Pelodiscus sinensis: one gene and its partner. The protein of the gene in region 1 purifies or fractionates together with the protein of each later gene. This does not show direct contact. Links are inferred from orthologs where the notes say so. Each region holds a gene or a part of one and is shown on either strand. Other genes may lie near its edges.

Region 1 (7,084 bases):
TGCTATTGTGGTGGGCAGTTTTGGTGTTTTCCCCCTCAGCCGGGATGCTAAATTTTATTATGTTGTTACCAAGCATTTCAGATATACTTACCTTTTGGACCAGATCCTGTGCTCCACGTAGGGCTAGATCAAGAATTCTCTCCCCCCTTGTGGGTTCCAGGACTAGCTGCTCATAAAAATCAGTCTCTGCCTCCCATACCAAGGTGACATGTACCAAGCCAATTATGGAGAGTTTCTTTTTTATTTTTATAACCTCTCTAATCTCTGAGCACTTCATGGAGACTATTATCATAAACATCAGGTGGTCAGGAATATATCCCTATTGCTATATTCTTTTTATTCAAGCATGGAATTATTATCCACGGAGACTCTATGGTTCAGTTCGACTTATAAGATTTTTGATACTGATGCTTTCTTTCTCATACAGTGCCACTTCTTCACCCGCACAACCTATTCTGCCCTTCTGATATATTTTGTAACTTAGTATTTGTGTCCATTGATTATTCTCATTCCACCGAGTTTCTCTGATGCCTATTTCATCAATATCCTCATTAAATACAAGGCCTCTAGTTCACCTGCAATTATTTGTTTTGGCATTTGTATATAAGTATTAAAAATTATCTTTAACTGCCTGCCACTATCTGACAGAGTGAAAGGAAGGGGACATATCCCCTCAATGCACTTTCCAACATACCACTCTCTGGTGCTGGACCACTGCATTCAATGGAAGTGCACCCACTGAACTCAGTGAATGCAGGGAACAAGTTTCTACTTTTCACACAACATGCTTTCTGAGCTAATGGCATAAAAGTATCAGAGCACGTCAGTGAATAGGCACTGGGACACAGAAAATTAGATACACCTGGGCCTCCTGACAAATGTGTCAGGGAGAGCAGGAGTGGCAGGAGAAGCACTAGAAGTCCTGCAGACCTATTCCACCAAAATAGACCCTTGAATAGTTCCAGTCCAACAGTCCATAGATGGAAATATCAGTTCCAGGAGCAACTACACCTTTGAATGCCTCCTCCCCACCAACTTCCTTGAGAGCATTTATTTAAGGTTTCAGGGTTTCAACTGTCACCTCTCTTGGGGAGAGATGCAAGTCTTCATCCCTTTCTAATCAGGAGGTTAAACTGCAATCCCTGTGCAAGTCACTGCAATTTCCCAGCAATTCTGACTTGGGTAAAAGTAGTTGTGGTTAACACTTTCTCTACAGTTTCAGAAGTGCATGCTAGTTACCAACCAGTCTTCACAAAGCAAACAGTATTTATTCTTAGGGCAAATGCATTACAGAGAAAAAAGGCCATATCACGCAATAAGAGTCCCTACATACATGGTACTGCTTACCAGAGGTTACACAGCAGTCTTACTGAGTCTGAGCAGGGCAAAGTCTTTCCAACCCTTCCACAAGAGTTGGGCTCCCCCTTAAACAGAAGGTCTGTCTGTTTGCTAGATTAGACAGAAGCCCTGAGCCCATTTACAAACAGCTATTTTACATCAAAATCCATTCTTTGGCTGTTAGTCTTTGAAAAACCCAGTTTGAACCAGCATATGCAGCTGCCCTCATGGAGACAGGGCTCACTTCCACCGTTCTCTGTTCTTAGCAGAATGGAGGCAACTTTTCCCCCCACTACAGTTCTACACAAGCCCTAGCCCACACTGCTATATAAACCACCCACACACTTAACAAAACATGGCCCCCAAAGAAGTTGCATGTGGTTTCAGTATGTGTCTGAAATTGATCGCATTATTCAGCCCATGTCACTGGGTCAAACTAAAACGATCTTTGACATAACCCCAGGGCATGTTTAGTAAACAAAAGAAGCTATTGCACCCACCCTTCCCGGCTAGGATCCTCAAAGCATTAAAACTGGCTACTGGAGCAAGTGCCACGATTACAGCTGCCACCCGCAGCATTTCTTGGAGCCCAGGCTCATAGATTTACACACACAACCCCCACGCGCACACACCCCTCACCTCACCCCCCCGCCCCTCCACACACACCCCTCACCTCACCCCCCCCGCCCCTCCACACACCCCCACCCCTCACCTCACCCCCCCGCCCCTCCACACACCCACCCCTCCCCGCCCCTCCACACACACCCACCCCTCACCTCACCCCCCCACCCCCCCACGCACACCCCTCACCTCACCCCCCACGCCCCTCCACACACACCCACCCCTCACCTCACCCCCCCGCCCCTCCACACACCCACCCCTCCCCGCCCCTCCACACACACCCACCCCTCACCTCACCCCCCCACCCCCCCACGCACACCCCTCACCTCACCCCCCACGCCCCTCCACACACACCCACCCCTCACCTCACCCCCCCGCCCCTCCACACACCCACCCCTCCCCGCCCCTCCACACACACCCACCCCTCACCTCACCCCCCCACCCCCCCACGCACACCCCTCACCTCACCCCCCACGCCCCTCCACACACACCCACCCCTCCCCTCACCCCCCCGCCCCCCCACACCCACCCCTCCCCGCCCCTCCACACACACCCACCCCTCCCCCCGCCCCCCCCACACACCCACCCCTCACCTCGCCCCCACCTCACCTTCCCCCTCCGCACACCAGCCCCTCCCCAGGTCACCTGGAAGCGGCCTCCCGGCCAGTCTCCGCAGGGCAAGTGGCGGTGCCGCCCCCGCGGAGGCCCCGGGACGCTCGCAGCGCGCGAGCCCCGGCGGGGGGAGGGGCAGGCCGAGGCGGGCCGGACGCAGAGAAGCCCCCCGCCCTAGAGAACGGGCCGGGCTGAGCGAGGGGCGGGGCTTGGGGGCGTGTCGGGGACGCGCGCACGGCTCCGCCTGCCGGGGACGCGGCCTGCACGCGGACGCGCCGCGGGACACGTGCCGAGGGGGCCTGGGGGCGGGGCCGCGGTAGGCCCGCGCGGCGCTGGGGGGAGGGGGGACTGGCCCCAGAGCGAAGGTCTCACCGCGGTCCGTCTCCACCACTCCAGCCCCGCCGCGTACTCCTCCGCGCGCATAACCTGCCGCTCCAGCCAATCAGCGCCAGCCGCGCCGCGAGCCAATCACGAGTGGAGTCTCCTCCCGCCCGCGGCACCGCCCAGCCTAGGCCCGCGGAGATTGGACACGCCCCCGCCTCGCCAGCCTATCGGGGGTCCCAACCCGAGGGGCGTGATCACATAGGGGCACGTCCAGTGATCGATCACAGCGCGTCCCCCGCGAGCCAATGGAAACCCGTCTCCTCCCCGGCAAGGCCCCGCGCTCATTGGCGGCTCAGCCTGCTGCGTGCCTACGTCACCGGAATTGGACGGAGCACTTCCGGGGCCGCGCGAGGGGGCAGCATAGTGGGCACGGTCTTCATGTCACTCAAGAGGCCTGGTCCCGCCCCCGGCCTGCAGGGCGGGTGGACAGTGCGACTGGAGACTCGCTCCGGCCCCGCCCTCCCGCGCACGTGGCTCTGCCCCTGCCTGTGGCCCCCCCAGCTCGCCCGGCTGCGGGGGCCTCGGGGGGCGGGCCTGCAGGGGGGGCTCAGGGGAGGGGGCGGGGGGCTCAGAGCAGGCCTGCAGGGGGGGCTCAGGGGAGGGGGCGGGGGGCTCAGAGCGGGCCTGCAGGGGGGGGCTCAGGGGAGGGAGTGGGGGGCTCAGAGCGGGCCTGCAGGGGGGGGCTCAGGGGAGGGGGTGGGGGGCTCAGAGCGGGCCTGCAGGGGGGGGCTCAGGGGAGGGGGTGGGGGGCTCAGAGCGGGCCTGCAGGGGGGGGGGCTCAGGGGAGGGGCGCTGCTTCAGGCTAGTCACGCTGCCTGCTGTACTCGCAAAACCTAGGGGAGGGCTGCCCCGCGGAGCTTTGGCAGGAAACTCAGGGAGCGGCCGCACCTCAGACACGCTCCACTGCTGGACAGGAGGGAGGCTTGCGTGCAGGAGTCACTCCTGTTTGCACAAGCATTATTGTGCAAAAAGACGTGTGTGGACAGGCAGCAAGGCTGTTCTTGCACAAAAAAACAATCGAATCAAGCACAGGTGCTCTGGCGGCCGTTCTGTTAATGGCAACCAGAGCTTTCTTGCGAGGCAGCATCCTTGCAGCGTAGACGCACACTCTTGTGCAAGAAGTTTTTGCTGATGAGCTCTTCCTCAAAAAGCTTTTTGCGCAAGAAGCCTGCAGTGTAGACGTCAGCTCCGGAACATGAATATTCTTCTCACCAAGCAACATAATGTGGGCAGGAGAGCTGCTTCCGTCGACAAATCTGGTGCCACTTCCAGAGGTGGCGTTTTATGCCAATAGGAGAACTCCCTCCCACCACTGCAAGTTGCAGTACTGTGGCTATGTCTACACTACAAGGTTTTTGCGCAAAAACCTGCGGAGGGTCCACACCTCAAATGCGCTTTTTGCAAGTAAAGCGGCAGTAATACAGAAGAACAGAGGGCTTTTTCCGGTGTAGGTAAACCTCCTTTTATGAGGTATAACTCCTTTTTGCGCTATAGCTATTGCACAAAAGGCAAGTGTGGACACTCCACAAGGGTTTCTTGCACAAAAAGAGCCTATCCAAAAAAGCACAGGTGCTCTGACGACCATTATGTGAATGGCCATCGGAGCTTTCTTGCACAAGAGCATCCATGCAGTGTGGACGCTTTCTTGTGCAAAAGCGTATCACAAAAGTGATGCACTTTGAGGTGTGGACGTGCTGTTGCACAAGAAGCCTGCAGTGTAGATGTAGCCCAGTGGTCCCCAACGCAGTGCCCGCGGGCGCCATGGCGCCCGCCGAGGCATTCGTGTGCGCCCACCGACAACCTGGGCTGGCCCGGCACACGGGAGGCGGCGGCTCCAGGCGTGTGACACGCACCAGCGCTGGGTGCGCGGCGCTCGGGTGGCCCCAGGCCCGGGGCACATGCGGGCGCTCAGGAGCGCGGTGCTCGAGCGGCGCTGGTGCCAGCCCCAGGCGTGTGGCTGTGGCGGCAGCGCTGGCCCACGGCACAACGCACTCGGGCGGCCCCAGCCCCGGCCCTAAGGCACACACCGGCGCTGGGTGCAAGGGCATCCCAGTCCCCTGGCGTGCCCCCGGGCGCCCGGCGCATGAGTGGCCCCACCTCCTGGGCTCCCGGGAGCCTCTAAACGTTGGGGACCACTGATGTAGCCTGTGTGTGTAGACATGCCCTCAGAGGCTTAAAAATGGAGGGTGTAGCTCAGCTTGTCTACACTGCTCCTTCTTGCGCAAAAACCCCCTCTTGCACAAGAGCCGTTCTGCCTAAAAATAAGTGGCAGAACGGCTCTTGCGCAAAAGTGCCTTGTGCAAAAATGGCAGCTTATTAGGTATGCAAATGAGGGGTGGCAATATTCATTGCTGCACCTCATTTGCATGTCTTGCGCAAGAATGCGCAATGTAGATGTAGCCTGAAGGGCCACAGATTAGATGTTCCTGACCTACAGCAAAGCAATACAGTGGCCAGATGTTTTCTTTTTGCAGCTTTTTGTCACCAGCCATCATTGGCTTAGTGGCTCGGAGACAAGTTTACTGTGTACTGGTGAGTCATCTGACCCTATAGTCCCTGGCACTTGGATCCCATAGTCCTTTCCATAAGGGTTTGTCCAGTGAGCTTTGCCAACATTTTTCCCTCTGCAGGGTTCTACAGTGGGAGCCGCCTTTCAGTGGCATATATGGATGTATGTGCAGCACTGGGAGATAGAGACTTGAGAGAACTAGCATTTCTGAAGATTAGTAGGTATGGGATGGGCAAAGCCTATTGGTTATGATGTGTCCCAGCTCTAGGACCACGATGGGGTCACTCTCTGCAGTGCATTTCCCAGCACCTCACATCACTTGACTAGCACAGATTCTACCACTGGGTGTGTCTAGACTACATGGCTCCGTCAAAGATGAGTTTACCAGACAGCAAAATGAAGCGGTGATTTAAATAATCGCCACTTCATTTTCCTCAAATGGCCGCTGCACTGTGCCAATCAGCTGTTTGTCGGCACAGCGCGGTAGTCTAGACGGGGATCAGCCGACCCCCAGCTCCCTTTGTCGTCAGATCCCTTATGCCATTGACGGAGCCATGTCGTCTAGACACACCCACTGAGTTGGCAGCGTCATTCCACAGCTAATGCAGCTCACTGTGAGGAGGGACTTTCTCCCTCCTGTTCAGTATCAATCACTGTTTGTTTGCTTTGCAAGTTAGGAAAATTAAAGTATCATCATAAGAAACAGCTCAAGTTGTTGGGGAAATCATTGATAATGCTGGTCAGGCTTTGCTAGACTGGTGAGACGTCGGAGGAGGGGGGGGAAGAAGGATGAAAATAAACAGTTCACACTTTATGCCGTTGATTTAGCAGGCACTGAATTTAATTTGGTTAGTCAATGTCTAGTGTTCCTTGCTGCAGCCCCTGGCGGGCAGAAATGATGGACTGTGATCACCGTTCAGGTGCTGCAGCAGAAGTGGGTTAAGAGAGGTGGGGATTTACCTGCCAGTTCAGGGCTATTACTGCCATAGCACCAAGTGGGGGCTGCTCCGGAGCCTGCATTGCAGAGGAGGCTGTCCTTGTACCATATCGTTGTCCCTGAGGGAATGGCCTTTCAAGTAAAAATATTCCACATGGAGCCTCATGGTTGTCCTAGTTCCGTTTTGGGAATACAATCAGACCAGGATGGTAGGCATCAAGGGCTTGATTTCTAGGAGGGCTGAGTCCCCACAGCTGAACTTGGATCAACTTACTTATCAGGAGTCCAGGTGGATTTTTCATCACTGACCATTTTTCAGCCAAGACTGGTTGTTTTTCTCAAAACTCTGCTCTAGGAATTGTGTTAGGGCAGGTCTCTGATCTGTGCTTTACAGGAGGACACACTAGAAGATCCCAATAGTCCCTGTTTCCATGGAGTTTATGAAATTACGAGTTGGAGTTCGTAATTGCTGCTTCTTGGCATCTCTGGAAATGAGGGCACAAACGGCCAGAAACAGTCCAGGTGAAGAGGTGTTCACAAGCCCAGAAAACAACTGTTTAAAATGGCCCTATTGTCTCCAAAAGCCACACAAACTGCCACTCCCTTTCTACACTCATTGCTTTACAAGGACACGGTAAATCCAGCTCTGACATAACCACAGAAGATGAGAAATGGAAATCAGA
Region 2 (6,958 bases), on another chromosome or scaffold:
CCAGTTATTAACGTCGGGTGCCTTCTGTAGATGCTGTTAATATTTCTTAGTAACTTATCAACTAATCAACATCTTTTGATATTTCTACGTAACTTAAATGTTAGTGGACATTAACTTTATCATTCCGTTTCTGGTATGGGGTACTTCTTCAAAGATTTACTCATGGGATAAGCTCCTAATGAAGGATATGAAAATCTAGACATGTTTACTGTTGAGGAATACATTTGTATGCTGATTGTTTTTCCCGCCCAATATTTGTTTTTCCTGCCCAATATTTATTTTCTTTAGTCTCACTCACTCAGGTATAGGAAGATGAGATATTTCTGCATGTGAAAGCAAGTAGGTTGAAATCCGTTATTTTAATATTTCACTCCTCGGATGAAAGGGTACTTCTACAATTGCACCCTAGTTTGAACTAGGGTTGCAAATGTAGGTGACCGAAATTGCTAATGAAGCTGGGATTTAAATATCCCGTGCTTCATTAGCATGATCTCGCCAGCACATTACTTTGCTGAACAGCTGTTTCGAAAGTGAAAGTGCGCGCTGGGATGTGTTAGTTGGAACCAAATCCCGTAGTTCGAACTAATGTTACTCCTCAAAGGGTTTGGTTCGAACTAACGAAACGTGCACTTTCACTTTCGAAACACCTATTCAGTGGAGTAACACGCTGGCGAGATCAAGCTAATGAAGTGCAGGATATTTACATCCCCACTTCATTAGCAATTTCAGTTGCCTACATTTGCATCCCTAGTTCGAACTAGGGTGCAAGTGTAGACATACCCAAAGATTGTACACCGTGCTTCATTAGACAGTTGAAACTTATTAAAAATCAATATGACCCTAAAAACCACTTCAAGTAATTTGAGTGAAACTGATCTAGGGTGCCTTCAGAGTCATTCAGCCTGTTGTGTGCCTATGCATGCAGGAGTGGATATTGTCTGTCCAGGCATACAGGTTGTGTGAAACAGCCTGGGAACAAAGATACCTCCTTTAGCATCTTATTCTAGGGTGAGATAATAAAATACCAAAATGCTCATTTAAACACCTGTATAAACATGGCACAAGAGGGCAGGAAGAGAACAGAGGATAAGTGTGTGACATTGACGGAGAAGAAAGAAGGAGATGAGGGTGAGGGAAAGTAAGAGGGCAGAATAGGGTAAAACAGGGCCAAAGAAAAGTAGAAATGGGGAGAGGATGCTTTAGAAGAGGCAGGTTAGGGTTAAGGAGCAGATCTGGGAAAGAAGGGAAGAGTACCAGGATGGACAGAATGGAAAGAGGGAAGCTGCTTGAGGATAGGAAAGTGCAGAGGACTGGGGAAAATATCCCAGGAGGAAGCTCAGGGGATAGGGGAGTAGGTGAGAGCAAGGCTGGGGTGGATGCAGCCCGGAAGGAGAGAAGGCTGAAAGCAGAGATGGGGCTGGAGGGGGGGGGGGGGGGCGGGGAGGATATCCAGGGACAGTGCTAAGAGATGGTGGGGGAGGGGAGGAGGAGCTGAGAGTAGACCTGCAGCACAGGTGGCCCAGAACAGATGCTGGGGGGAGGGGAGGAAGACAGGAAGGTAAAAGTAGGACTGGGGTGCAGGTGTGGCCCAGGGCATATGATGGGGAGGGCTGAGAGCAGGGCTGGGACAGCCCAGGGAGGATGTTGAGGGGATGGAGAGATGGTGGCGACAGGAGCCAAGAGGATGGTAAGGGGTGTGGGGCGAGAGGCTGAGAGTAGGACTAGGTGGGAGAGGTGGCTCAGGGAGGATGCTGAGGGCTTGTAGGGGGTGGGGTGGTGGTGGTGAGATGAGAGCGGGGCTAGATGGAGGAGACTGTGGAGCAGGGGCAGCTCAGAGAGGATGTGCTGTGTGTGTGTGTGTGGGGGGGGGGGTGCGAACCAAGACAAGGAAGATGCTGGGGGAGGGATGAGAGCAGAGCAGGGCAGGGCACAGGGAGTTGGGGGATGCTGTGGGGGTAGAGGAGAGGAGCTGAGAGCAGGGCTGTGGCGGAGGGAAGATGCTGAGGGCAGGGCACAGGGAGTTGGGGGGATGCTGTGGGGGGAGAGGAGGGGACAGAGCAGGGCTGGGGCAGAGGGAAGATGCTGAGGGTGGGGTGGAGGAAAGCTGCTCGGGGAGGGCTGAGTGCGGGGCGGGGTGTGGAGAGTTGGGGGGATACTGTGGGGGGAGAGGGGAGGGGCTGAGAGCAGGGCTGTGGTGGAGGGAAGATGCTGAGGGCAGGGCGCGGGGAGTTGGGGGGATGCTGTGAGGGGAGAGTAGAGGTGCTGAGAGCGGGGCTGAGAGCAGGGCGGGGCACAGGGAGTTGGGGGGGATGCTGTGGGGGGAGAGGAGAGGGGCTGAGAGCAGGGCTGTGGCGGAGCGAAGATGCTGGGGGTGGGGAGTTGGAGGGATGCTGTGGGGGGAGAGGGGAGGGGCTGTGGCGGAGGGGGCGCGGGGAGTTGGGGAGATTCTGGGGGGGGCGAGGGGCTGAGAGTGGGGCTGGGGCAGAGGGAAGATGCTGAGGGCGGGGAGTTGGGGAAATGCTGGGGGGAGAGGGGAGGGGCTGGGGCAGAGGGGGGCGCGGGAATTTGGGGGGATGCTGGGGAGGAGAGGGGCTGAGAGCGGGGCTGTGGCGGAGGGAAGATGCTGCGGGCGGGGAGCTGGGGATGCTGGGGGGGGAGGGGGCTCAGAGCGGGGCTGTGGCGGAGGGAAGATGCTGCGGGCGGGGAGCTGGGGGGACCGGGCGCAGGGACGAGAGGCGGGTTTACCCTTGTGCTCCTTTCCCGGGCCGGCCAGGCCGCCCGTCCCGCTGTGCGCGGCGCTCGGGTCCCGGCGGGATGCGCAGGAGCCGGCTGCTGGCAGGCGGCGGAGGAGGGGCCGGCCGCGGAGCAGCATGGGGCGAGGGCGGATCCGGCTCGGAGCCGGAGCCAGGAGGGGCCGGGCGATTGCTGCGTCACCAGGCCGGGAGGGCTGACGTGGCCGCGGCTGCTGCGGTGGTGGCGAGGCTGGGCGGTGCCAGAGCCGCCCGCGCCCCAGTCTCTGCGCTCGCTCCTGGCCCGGCGCGGGGCTATAAACCTCCAGGGCCGGGGGCGGCCTGAGTTGGATTCTGTTTCGGGGGTGGCCCAAGTGGGGTCGGGCTCGCTCAGCAGGGCCCGGGGAGGAAGCGCCCCCCCCCCCGCCGGCCGCCCAACCTGTCAGACCAGCCTTTGTGTAGCGAGGGCCCTTGTGCCCGCCCAGCCCCACCCATGGGTGCTCCATGTACAGCAGCAGTTGCTGGCTTCCGCCCAAAGGGAGCACCTGGGCTCGCAGCTTCAGCCCTGTGGCTTCTTGCGGTGCACTGGGGCATGGGGCTGCAGCCCCATGGATCCTGGCTTTGGGCCTGTTGGAGGATGCTGGAGTTCTGTTCTGTAGCTGCAGCCTTGTGGAGCCGCTGATATGGTTCTGGCCCACTGAGGGGCCACGGGCTTCTGGTTGAGAACCTGGTGTACAGTACAGACTCGGACCTTTTTTTTTTCCTCACGACCCAGTTGAAGGAAATAGTTGTTGCCTGTGACTTAATTATATCTTTTGACTAGCATGCACGCTCTGGCATGGGGCTGGGGATGAGGGTTTCAAGCTGAGGGGTAGGGAAAAGAGGTTCAGGGCGTGGGAGGGGGCTTAGGGCTGGGACAGGAGGATGGGATGCTGGGAAGTGTGGACTCTGGAGTGCAGGCTTTGGTGTGGGTCCAGAGATAAGTTTCAGGAGCTTACCTCTGCAGGGCTTACCTCTGCAGTCACCTGTTCAGTGGCACAGCAGCGGTGCTTCCTGCCTGTCCTGGCATTATGCACGGTGTTGTGCTCAGTTCCTAGGTGGAGGTGCACAAATGGCCTTGCATGCTTCTCTCTGCTTCGGGCATCAGTCCCCACAGCTGGGCAGGGCAGTGCCTTGTGGCCCTCCATCTAGGAGCTAGATCTGATGTTGTTTGCGTCTGGTGTGCAGTGTGGTCCGTTGTAGCAGGGCAGACAGGAAACCTGCTTTAGTCCCTCCACTGGTTGCATGGTCACCCTTCAGCAGGGTGATCCAGTGCGTGGCATGTTACAACCTGTTGTACTACTTTAAAGTACAGTAGCACTGGTTGGTGTAGCAAGGGAGAGCTGGGAGATGAGAGTTCCCAGGGAGAGGAAAGGTGGAAGTGTACTAGCAGAGCCATCTTTATATGATACTTGTTGGCTCATTAGTATTTGTTTCTTTTGGACTCTCCTCTCCCCCCCCTCCCCTTTAGGTGGGTAGGAGCTGTAAAGTATCCTGACAGTCATCATCCAAAACTTATTCTTTAGGTTTTGAATGGGTCCTGGAAAACAGCTCACCGTGCCCAACTGTTGCCAGAAATCTTTGGAATAGAATTTCTGTGATATTGATTGCATATTGCCTCTGCAGAGACTTTGTTTCAAGCAGCATCAAGTAGTTTACATATATCAACCAGCATGAAAATTACTTAATTACTGTATTTTACATAAACAAAATTAAGTGACTCAAGACTTAAACCAACAAAAGTCAAGTTGACACAAATGCAGAAAGGCGTTGGTTGCAAATGGTATGTCAACACGAACTTTGTGTGCTATTGTCGCTTGTATCACAATCTTAGTTATTTGAACATTCTTTTGAAAAAAAATCTGTTAGATCAAAAAAAGTATGAGAATTTGTCATCTTATGTTAAATATATATTAGCTGAGGTTTTTTTTGGTTTTTTTTATGTGACTATAAACTTAGTAGAACCAAATTGGTTCTAACTTGGCTATTTTCATTTGTAGGAAGAGATTAGCCTAACACATTACATTGTCCTCACAATTAATTATTAACAAAGTAGCAATAATAAATGAATTTTAAAAAGCATCCTAACTAAAATTGGGGAACTGACAGATGTACTCACTTTATGGTCTATGTAGGTGCTTCCACTTCATCAGCAGGAAGAAGTCCTAATAAATAAACACAACTGTGACACAGTTGGTATCAAAGAGATGTGGTGGGATAATACACATGATTGGAATACTGTATAGAAGCATACAGCTTACTCAGGATGGATAGGCAAGGTAAATAGGAGGTGTTGCCATGTATATTAAAAATGTACACACTTGAACTGAGGTGGAGCTGGACATCAGATACAGATGTGTTGAGAGACTCTGGGTTGGATTAAAAGGGATAAAAAACAAGGGTGATGTCATGCTAAGGGTCTACTACAAACCACCTACCCAGGTAGAAGAGGTGGATGAGGCTTTTTCTAAACAACTATCATTCAAAGCACAGGATTTAGTGGGGATGGGGGCTTAACTATTCAGACATATGTTGGGAAACTAACAGCGGGGCACAGACTATCCAATAAGTTCTTGGACTGAATTGAAGACAATTTTTTATTTCAGAAGGCTGAAAAACCTACAAGGGAGGAAGCTGTTCTTGATTTGATTTTGACAAATAGGGAAGAACCGGTTGAAAATTTGAAAGTGGAAGGCAGGTTGGGTGAAAGTAATCATGAAATCATAGAGTTCATGATTCTAAGGAATGGTATAAGGGAGTACAGCATGAATTCTATATTTCTGGGTTTTTTTACAAAGCTCATTTTTGTGTGGGGGTTTTGAATACCGGCGTAAGGCAGTGAACGGGGAGAGGCAATACTAAGTACCAAGAGTGGTATATTAACTTGATCATTTTAATAGGATAGTCCCACTTTTTCATTTGATATCCTGGGGTCCCAAAACCATTTAGAATGCCTGAAATAGCCTGATTTTTCATTTAATCAGAACATTCAGAATTGTTATGAACTTGAAGAGATTTGTTCAAGATTTATTGTGATACAGGCAGTCCCCGGGTTACATACAAGATAGGGACTGTAGGTTTGTTCTTAAGTTGAATTTGTATGTAAGTCGGAACTGGTACATATTGTACCCCAGGTGTCCTCGATTCAGCCGCTGCTGAAACTGACCAGCACTGACTACAGGAAGCCAGAGGCAGAGCTGCTCTGCCCCGGGCTTCCTGGAATCAGCCGCTGATCAGTTTCAACAGCGGCTGAATCGGGGACACCTGGGACAGAGCAGCTGGGGCGCTGCTGGGTGGGTCCAGTAGCGCCGCACCTCGGCGCTGTGGGACCAACCCGGCAGCTCCCCAGCTGCACTACCCCAGGCGTCCTGATTCAGGTGTTGCTGAAACTGACCACCTGTGAGAAAAGCCTGGTCTGCTGGGGGGAGGGGAGTGCACTAGCTGCGCCTCCCCCAGCAGACCAGGGAGACGCGGAGCAGCTTTTCTCGCCGCGGAGGACGCGGGCGGCGGGACCGCGGCATTTCTTGGCTGTCCTGCCACCAGTGTCCTCCGCGGCGAGAAAAGCCGCTCCGCATCTCCCTGGTCTGCTGGGGGGGGGGGGGGCGCTAGCTCCGCGTCTCCCTGGTCTGCTGGGGGAAGCGCCCCCCACACTGCCAGAGGTGGCGACAGTGGGGGAGGCACCCCGCACTAGCTGCGCCCCCCCCCCCCCGTTCGTAACTAGGGGTCCGACTTAAGTCGGATTGACATAACCCGGGGACTACCTCTATTGACAAAATGGGGCCAAATCTGACTACGTTTAAGGGGAAGTGAAGTCTTTGCCTGGGTAAACCATATTTTTGGTTATCAGTAACTGAATGTCTAAGTTGGGTGTAGGCTTTGGCAGTGCTAAGCATTTACAAATTTATTTATGCGATAAGGAACCAACATGACCCAGAACTGGATGGAGAGTGTGTGGCCATAGCTGCCAGTCTCCTCAGTGACTACCACCAGCAGAATATCTGCAGAGCCTCTGCACAACTTAAAGCTTGAGTGTAGCCCAGTAGAACTTTCATAACCCTCTTTGGAATATTATATCCTAGATGTGGTGTCTTGTTTTGGTGTCTCAAGTGGGTAGAGTTTCATTTGTGTTTGGAGCCAGAAAGAGTACCACTGCTTTTCCTCCTCCTCCTCCTCTAATTGAGGAGTTGAAT

What was found.
Region 2: the proteins of MTMR4 (region 1) and DNAJC10 purify together in Homo sapiens (affinity purification with mass spectrometry; 3 studies listed by BioGRID and IntAct, counting the BioPlex papers as one, with this or other methods). This does not show direct contact. The link is inferred for Pelodiscus sinensis from reciprocal best matches to the Homo sapiens genes MTMR4 and DNAJC10.

Annotation. Positions count from the first base shown.
Region 1 is NC_134731.1:19,042,042-19,049,125, forward strand, and holds the start of MTMR4 (phosphatidylinositol-3,5-bisphosphate 3-phosphatase MTMR4), read right to left. Parts: upstream 3,010-7,084; 5' UTR 2,995-3,009; coding exon 2,944-2,994; intron 2,834-2,943; exon of another isoform or gene 2,605-2,833; intron 1-2,604. UniProt on the Homo sapiens protein: Lipid phosphatase that specifically dephosphorylates the D-3 position of phosphatidylinositol 3-phosphate and phosphatidylinositol 3,5-bisphosphate, generating phosphatidylinositol and phosphatidylinositol 5-phosphate.
Region 2 is NC_134717.1:49,427,340-49,434,297, reverse strand, and holds the start of DNAJC10 (dnaJ homolog subfamily C member 10), read right to left. Parts: upstream 3,007-6,958; 5' UTR 2,746-3,006; intron 1-2,745. UniProt on the Homo sapiens protein: Endoplasmic reticulum disulfide reductase involved both in the correct folding of proteins and degradation of misfolded proteins.